Linked DNA regions of Coturnix japonica. The protein of the gene in region 1 purifies or fractionates together with the protein of each later gene. This does not show direct contact. Links are inferred from orthologs where the notes say so. Each region holds a gene or a part of one and is shown on either strand. Other genes may lie near its edges. The genes, in order: PRDX1 and TXN.

Region 1 (4,401 bases):
GCTTCATGTAATATCGTTGTACATTAACACTGCAATGAGAGCACGGCTGCGGACTCGGGAAGAATGCAAGGAAACACTCGTTAATAGTTTGCACTGAGATTCTTCCCCTAATGAGGAGATGCAAAGTGTCCATGAGCTGCCGTCAGTCTGCTCGTTGTAAGGCAGCACGGCTCTTTTATGAAGGGAGAAAATACAAGTAAATGCAAAAAAAACTAAGAAGGTTCAGCTGGTACAAGTGAGACGTGGCTCAACATCACCTATCTCCTATTCCCACACTGACACGACAGAGTAAAGCTCACAATGACTCAAAGCAACGCGTGCAGCCCGGCCAGGAGGATGCACGGTAACACGGGACGTGCAAACTACGGCCATACATGCACCCACCCACCGTCACAGCTCGCCCCGACCCAAAGCGACGAGCCTTCAGCCAGCACGATACACACAGGAGCGCACTGCGGCAGCAGCCACACGTCTGTGCATCGCTACAACCGCAAAGCGCCCCCGGCCCCGCTGTGCCCGCCGTGCCGGTACGAGCCCCCGCCCGGCTCCCCGCATCCAGCCCGGGGCACCGCACCGCACTCACCCGCACCGCCGAACCACCGGGCTACGCCGCCGCTCTGCGCTTCCGCTTCCGGCCGCCAGCGGGCAGCGATCGCAACGGGAACAGAGCGGTGTGTGTGTGTGATGGCTGCACACAGGGCACGGGTCAGCTCTGCTGTGCTACAGCCGTGCCTGCTGCAGGGCAGGACAAGGCACGAACACAAGGCAAAGCGCCTCGTGGTGCCTGTACAAGTGGGTTTTATGTGTGTAAGTGTGAGGAATGAGCACAACAAATGGTGAGGCCGCTGCTGCGTTGTGTGCTGGTGCTGTGAGCCATGGCAGGCTGCTTGATATGGAGCTGTTCATTGGGACTGTCCGGCCGTGCAGGGTGATCCCGTGTACCTGCCCTGCAGTGACACCTCAGTGCACAGAGCTCGGCTGTGCTATGTTAAGGCAGAGATTGGAGCCACGGCTGCACGGCACCGAGCACACACTGCTGTTAACAGGCCTGACTGAAGCCACACAAACCCCATTCACCTCAATGGCAACCACCAGCCGATCTCATCCTTCCTCAAAACGCAGCCCATCCTCTCCCTCCCTGCTGACTCCTAATAGCAGCGGCTCGGTTCTATTACGGCATTAAAGCCATTTCTTGCTACGATCCATCTGACTCATCCTGCCGTGAGCCGCTTCCAGCCCTACTCCTCCAGCCATTCCATCAGCCATTCCCCCGGCACCGCCCGGCCGCCATCCTTGCGCTGAGCGCTGCCGTTGTGCAGCCCCGCACGGCGCGGGGCAGATAAGGCGGCTATGGGGCGCTATGGGGCGGTATGGGGCAGCAGCCCGTAGTGCCGAGTCATGCTGGCTGTGCGGGCGGCCCGGGAAGGCGGGACGGGCGGCACGGCCCGGGAGCGGCGCGCCCGTGTCCTCGCGAGATCGGCCCCGCTATAAAGGGGCGGCGCGGCGGGGGCTGCGGCACTTGGCGGCTTCCTGCTGGAGTGCGGGGACAGGAGCTTTGTGTGAGTGGGGGCGGGGGGCGCTGGGGGGCAGGGGGGTGTTGGGGCTGCACGTTGCTTTCGCTCACGGCTTTGCTCCCATTTCTCTTTTCCCTGTCCGCGGGGAGGTGTAGAGCCAAGCCCGCTCCGAGCAGCGCTGTGCAGGGATTGCTGCTTTCTGCAGCCGTTTGGCGTGTATTGTTTTCCTTTTTCCTCCCTTAAAAGAAAGGGTTATGGGGCGGATTGGGTCTGGGCACGGGCTGCCCGTGAGGAGGAGCGGCGGGGGCCGCTCGGAGCGGGGCTGGACTGAGCCGGGCCTCGGGCGGTGCGGCGCGGTCCGGCTGCGGGCCGCTGTGCGGTTCGTGCCTGCCCGGCTGGGGGCAGCCCCGCCCTCCTCGCACCGCAGCTCGGTCCGTTCACTGTAGCGATGTAGGGCTGGGGAAGGGTAGGCTCGCTCCCGTCGGAGTGTCCTAAAGGTATGAATTTCCAGTTGGAATGCAGGCACGGCTTGTTGTAATTGTAGCGAGGCCGCGAGCAGCCCAGGCGCTCTGAGCTGGTGCAGCTGCGTTTCGCTTGCAGCGCCGTGCTTCTGCTTCTAGAACGGCAGGACCTCGCACGCAGTCTGTGCTCCGCTCCTCGGCGGATTAGGAAGCGCTGTGGCTGTAAATCCAAGCAGAGCACGCGGCTGTGTGCTGCTGTGCCCGGCAGAGCAGGCCGTGCCAAATTGCAGCTGCTTTCTTCACTGCACTTGCTGCAGTTCTTGCAGTAGGAGACCACTGAGTCCTATAACCTGATGTTAAAGGCTTGCAGGTTGTTTGAAAAGGGACAATAATTCCTTCATCAGAAAGGGGAAGTATCAGAGAGCCGTCTGACTGCTTAGATTTGACCCTGGTATTACGCTCCAGGGAAGCGCTGATGGAACAAATATAGGTCTGGCGTAGTACTGAGCAAAGGGATGACCTTGAGCTTGAGTACAGGGAAAGAATGTAATTCCGTGGTAAAACACGGGGTCATGTACTGCAGATAAAGCAGGTATTGCTTAAAAGACAGAACTTTCTGGCTGAGGGTCTGACAAATGCTGTGCAATGGCAGTTTCAGACTTGCATCTGCATTTGTGGCTCCATGAAGTGATCGGAAGGATTATTAATGTCATCATTCTAGACCGTTTCAGTATCCTCTTATGAATGCCTTGCAGTTCTGGCTACCTTGGTTCATAAGATTCTGTCCTGGTTCGCTGCATTTGAAGGTGAACCCTTCGGATGAGCTGGGAATGTGGAACTCTTTGTACGAGGCAGTTAATTGTGCTGAGTAAGGTGGCATTTTGCAAAGCAAAATGAAGGAGGGGGTTACTGTCCATCCTCTCTGCATGTGAGAGGAGCCTTCAAATGTTAAACTCCTCATAGAAGCTCTAAATTGATCAGTTTAACTTGAATAGAAATTCTTATGACATGTGAGGTAATTCTCCTGGAGCTGTGGCAAGGGAGAAGGAGGCAAGAAATGAAGTGCATCTGCCCTGTTCTGGAATGGACTTTGTGCCATGCAAGCAGGGTTTTTAAGGTCTTTGAAACTCAGCTTTCTGTAGCAATATGAGACTCAGTAATACTAACAGCTCAGGGGCTTGTGTCTCCGTGCCAGATAATTCTTTTGCAGCATGTAAAATGGCTTCAGTGAGATCACTTAAAGACTGAGCTGAGGGAATGAGGTTCATGAAGTTTTGTATTTGAAAGGCAGTGCTCTGCAGGGAACTGGGATTCTGAAGTGCTGCATCTGCACACTGAGCAAAAGTGCTGTACAGAACGTGTCTGCAAAGGACTGGACTTAGGATTGATGGCCAGAAGTAAACTTCTCTTGGCCTCATGCACACTCTTACTCTTTTTCAATAGACTGAAATGCTCAGGGGAACCAGCCTGGCTGCACTGGTTTAAGAGTTTGTGAGCCTGTAGTTGTTAATATGAACTGTAGATCAAAATCACGAGTCTTTTGTTTGTAAATAAAACAAGGCTTCTTTGTTTGCAAGGCTGAAGAGTAGTTATGGAGAGTGTTGGTCTCTTAGAGACTAATCAAACTCTGCTTGGAAATAAGGTTTGAGGTCTTACATTCCTTTGTGAATTTGAACAAGAGTCTCATCATCAGAATTTAGGAAGAAAGACTTAATAGCTCATCCACCTATTGGAACAAAGGCTTAGTGTGGATACAGCTAAAACTCTAGGCAGCTGGCTCGCTTCTAGCCTGTAATGAGCTGTTCCTGGTCAAAGATAACTGTGTCCTTAGGAAACTAACATGCCTTAAAGAATGTGCTTAGTAGTTTCATCTGGATACCTGACTACCCAGGTGATAAGCTTAAAATGAGTTTTGCTCTTAAGCCTTGCTGCCAGATCAAATGCTGATATACTGCCCCATTGATAATTAAACTGATATGATGCTTTGCACCTGGAAGTAAGATGTATTCAAACTATTCAGCTATCTAAACTGCGCTGTTAATTCTTTTCCAGATTAAATCAAGATGTCTTCAGGAAAGGCTTTCATTGGAAAACCAGCCCCTGAGTTTACTGCCACAGCAGTAATGCCAGATGGGCAATTCAAGGATATCAAGCTCTCTGACTATAGAGGTGGGCTTATGTACATCTAATTATGCAAATGCAGTCTCCCCTTGTGCAGGGGATGGGAGGTGGGGAGGGGGAGCATCTAATGAAGCCTTTGGTTTGGTTTCCAAGTAACAGTGACCACTTGACTGTAGTTAATTTACAGTGATTTTGTTCATTGCCAACTGGAATGTGTTTGGGAAGCTGTTGACAGCATGACTGAATGTCCTAATTATGATGATTGTTGGTTATTAGCATGAAATTCCTCTAAAATAGAACAACTA
Region 2 (4,469 bases), on another chromosome or scaffold:
GCCTGCATCACTGTGCAATGCATCTGTGCTGAGCATGGATCCTGCACGCTGCTTTTAGCACAGAACACCAAGGGGAGTGGGCAGCTGCAGAACCCTGTGAACATCACTCATGGGATGTGCATTGGGATGGCACACAGAGGTTGTGGTGGCCCAGGGATGGTCCTGCTTCCTGCCAGCTTCCTGGAAGCACAGGGCTGATTCCTGGAAAGTACAGTATGTGGCAGTGCTCTCCCCCTCCTTTCTGTCATTGTTCAATGGCTTCTCCTCCGTCTTTCAACCAGATGTGCTCTGCCAAGTGTTCAAGAGAGGCTGGGTGATTGGGTACGTCACCAGTGAGAGCAGAGCTCTGTGTGCACTGCGCATATGGCTGGCAGACACCCAGCACACCCATCTAATTATTAAATATTTATTGCACCTTTAATGGGTCAGTTACAACAGAAGAGTGCTCCCAAGGAGCAGGCTGCAAGGAACGGGAAAGCACCATTAAAGACTGTCAGGGCCAGATGAAATGCAGCGTGGTAATGCACTGCAGATAACCCGTCTCTCCTGCGATAAAACGTGGTGCAGCTGTTGCTGCAGGCAGTTCTTCCAGCAGCTTCCTCCCTTTGGCAGCTGTCTGCACCATTGCTTAATGCCGGACGTGCCCAGCCCTCTGTGACATGGCCAGGCTTGGATCTGCTGTGAAACTGGCCCTTCTGCTGCACTGTGTGATTCTCACTGTATCCTCTGGTCACAAAGTCCAGCGCCACTTAGACACTGTATAATGCCTTGGGAGAACTGCTGGCTGACGGGCCAGGACTGGAGGGTTGTATTAATGGGGTTACATGGCAGATTGTCACCAGTGGGGTCCTGCATTGGCTCCATTTAAGGTCCAGTCTCTTCAGTGGGTTATCGGGGAGCTGAGTGCACACTGATTGTCCTCTGATGGTGCTGAACTAGGGGAAGCCGTTGGTTCCCATGCAGGAACTGGATGATCTTTGGGGTCTCTTACAAGCCAAGGGGGCTGGGAATAAAAGGAAAAGGAAGATATGGAGCATGGGCAGACAGGGGACAGACACACGGACATGGGGACAGGCAGACACGTGGCACGGCCAGCACACAGCCCGTGTCGCAGCACATGGGTGCTGGAGGCAGAAAAAAAACCCAGTTTTAAAACGATTTTAAAACAGAATCGAGAAATAAAACAGGAGGAGTCCCCCCATACGGGTTCCCACCCCCTCCCCTCCTCCAGGGCAGGATCCTGCCCGCCACTTCCTGCTCGGCGTTACGCAGCACTTTTTCTTACAGTCACACGGTTGGTTTTTTTTTTCTTTCTTTTTTTTTTTTTTTTTTTTTTTTATTTCTTTTTTTCCCCCTATTTTCCCTCCTCTCCCCCCTCTCGCTGCTCCCCCCAACCCCCGCCCTGTGAAAGAACTATAACGGCCGCTCCCCTTCCCGCCTCGTGACGTCACCCGCGCCATGGGCGGGAAGGGGCGTGGCCCGGCGATGGGCTGAGCGCTCAGTGCGCATGCGCGATGCAGCGGTGGCTATATAAGGGCAGGCCCGGGGCGGCGGCGGCAGAGCGTTGGTTTGGCGTTGCGGAGTGAGGACCGGTATAGACACAGCCGAGAGCGCAGCGGCGTGCGGGACGCGCGTGCGCGGGGACGAGCCCGTTGTCCGCCTTGTGACCGTACAGCACAGTGAGAGCCGCCATGGTGAAGAGCGTGGGCAGCCTGGTGAGTGCATGGGGCGGCACGGTGGGGTGTGGGTGAGGGGGGCTTGGTGTCGGCGCCGGGCCTTGGGCCGCGCTCCTTTGTGTGCGCTGAGCCTGAGGCCGCTCCCCAATGGCGGCTGCGCTCCGGCCGCAGGGGGCACTGCGGGAGCGGGTTAAACTGCAACACGTCGCCCTGACCCTTGGCTGTCAGCTGATGGCCGCGATCACAGAATGACCCGGGTTGGGAGGGACCTCAAGGATCATGTAGTTCCAACCCCCCTGCCTGGCAGGGCCACCAAACATACGCCTTTACTAGATCAGGTTGCCGGATCAGCACGGCCCAAGGGCGGCTCGGTGGGTGTCAGACATCGTGCTTATAGCTGGGGTCTTGTATTAAGGCTGTCCCAGCTATGCTGAGGGCGGTGGATTTCTTACGGCGTTGGTTGGTGGCCTCCATTTTGGGTTGCTGGGAATCCCTGCTGCATTGAACCTCTCCTTGCCACCTGTTTTCTCGCAGCCGGCCCTTGGAAACTGAAATCTGCTAACATAATGCTGCCTGCTGCGCCCAGCAAAGTGAGGCCGAGGCCTCAGGGAGGCACCAGATGGGTATTTGAAAAGTGTTTATGGGCTTTTCCCCTCCAGAGGACTAAGGAAAATATTGCTGAAAAAGCTGTGAGATCCTCTAACAGCTGTAGCCACGTGGACTAACAGGGGGAGGTGTCCATTCTGATAATGGAGATATTTCTGTATGAATCTTATTAATCCATACTTACTGCAGAAAGACTAGAAGTCAGAAAGGTCAGCCAGTTTTCCTGCTGTATTCCTTACTTCAGGGATATTAATGTTTTCTGAGGAAAAAATACCAACACTTACCCCTTGCTGGGTATCTCAGGGGTAACACCGTTGGACCTCGTGTCTCTTCTCAGGCTGCCTGTAGCAATTTTAGCTAATTCTAGGGATGACTCACAGGGTAACGCCTGGCTGCAGCTGGAGAGCAGTGCTCAGATCTCCAGTGGTGTATGGGTTGTGATCTGCAGGAAGTGCCATGTCCTCCCACTTTGCCCTTGTTCTGTGCAATATTGCCCTGAGATGTGTGGTCATATGATCAGCGCGTCCCAGGGATGGCCTTCCTCATGCAGGGTACAGCAATCAGTCATTTGGACTGAGGAAAATAGTCCAATTGGTGGGTGCAGGAGGTAGAATTAATATTAATAAGGCTGTTACAGCACTAAGTTGTGAGAATATATGCCAGAAATCAGGGATTTGGAGGTGGGAGTGAGTGAGGCTCTATTTAACAGCCTTATGGTTTTAAGTAACCACTGGGAGCAGATAGCATGGACTACTGTGTATGTGAACGCTGAACTTTGCTGGAGGCAGTGTTGTGCTTTAGAGACTGGGATGCAGGAATACACCCCACATTAGCACAGTGGTGGAGAAGAAGAGAGAGAGGAAGAACTTCTTGCTGCCACCCTTGCCTGTGTGTTGGATCAGCATCCTCTGCTTGCTCTGCCTGAGATACTTGTTTGTTTTTTAGCATGCAAATATTTCTTTCCTTCAGTGCCTTACACTTCTGTTGAAACATTTGCTCTTTGAAAACAGCGGCACATAAGGAGCTCTGAAATGCAAAGCGTGATGTCCAGAAATGTCTCTTGTAACAAAGTGCAACAGAGATATCTCTGTTAACCTTAAATGTTAGTTGTTACTGGCATAGACTGTGTAGCTTTGCATTGAGTACTGGAGTTACACCCCAATTTACTTGGCATAATAAAATATTTATATGATGAAGCTGTTGCTCTAGGAAACATGCTGTAGGGTAAACCACGCAACATCTTGATTCTAACCATTGCTTGGGAAAGGTATCAGACCATGAAACTGTGGAAGTTTGTCCTCAGATTCTGAGGAATCCTAGAAGAAAATGGACGACATCCTATTAAATTGGAGATTAGAACTGAATGCTAAGGACCGTCAGGATCACGTTAGAAGTGTAACATTACTCAGTTTAGCTTACGGTCTCAGTTCATGCTGAGTTCTACATAAACTTCCACAGTTCAGTGACTGAGCATTGTGATGTTTCATAATTGATACTCATAATTCATCAGAAGACAGTGGGGGATGCAGTGCTGATGGAGCTAAGGGAAAGCTGACTTGGGGGTTAGTCTTGAACCTTTTGCAAATGAGGGGGGAAATCCTTAATGTTTTGATTTCTTTTTTCTTTACAGTCCGAATTTGAGGCAGAACTGAAAGCTGCTGGTGAGAAGCTTATAGTAGTTGATTTCTCTGCCACATGGTGTGGACCATGCAAAATGATCAAGCCATTTTTCCATGTAAGTAGCTTTTGTCTTTCACAGTAACTTTAAGTATATAGAAATACTTCTGTGCAACTTCTAATATGGTGGAAACCTTCTTTGTCTATGGTGTGTTTTCCTGAAGGAGGAATCTTAGAAGGATATGATAGGTAACTATTGAATAAAGCACTTGGATACACAGCGGGGAACTAACACACTGTAGCGTTTTGTCTGTCCTGGTGTGCTGATGCATCAGTCTGTAGGGACCTAGCTGGTGCATTTCCACAAGAACTGGCAACAGTGGAGTTGAAATAATGTATATATGCTGGCTCTGATTATTTAAACTGCGTTCAGTTAAGCTGTAGCATCTTTATGTGTTGAGGGGGAAGCCATAAGGGAAGGAAAGGCCTTTCCCTTATGCTTAGGTGCTTCAGCAGACTCTTCCAGGGGATGGAGCTGGAAATTAATTTCTGGTCAGTAAAGCAGCTGCT

The links.
Region 2: the proteins of PRDX1 (region 1) and TXN purify together in Homo sapiens (affinity purification with western blotting; 3 studies listed by BioGRID, with this or other methods). This does not show direct contact. The link is inferred for Coturnix japonica from reciprocal best matches to the Homo sapiens genes PRDX1 and TXN.

What each region holds. Positions count from the first base shown.
Region 1 is NC_029523.1:18,753,312-18,757,712, reverse strand, and holds the start of PRDX1 (peroxiredoxin-1), read left to right. Parts: upstream 1-1,427; 5' UTR 1,428-1,559; intron 1,560-4,027; 5' UTR 4,028-4,038; coding exon 4,039-4,144; intron 4,145-4,401. UniProt on the Homo sapiens protein: Thiol-specific peroxidase that catalyzes the reduction of hydrogen peroxide and organic hydroperoxides to water and alcohols, respectively.
Region 2 is NC_029547.1:59,052,392-59,056,860, reverse strand, and holds the start of TXN (thioredoxin), read left to right. Parts: upstream 1-1,490; 5' UTR 1,491-1,691; coding exon 1,692-1,715; intron 1,716-3,912; coding exon 3,913-4,017; intron 4,018-4,469. UniProt on the Homo sapiens protein: Participates in various redox reactions through the reversible oxidation of its active center dithiol to a disulfide and catalyzes dithiol-disulfide exchange reactions.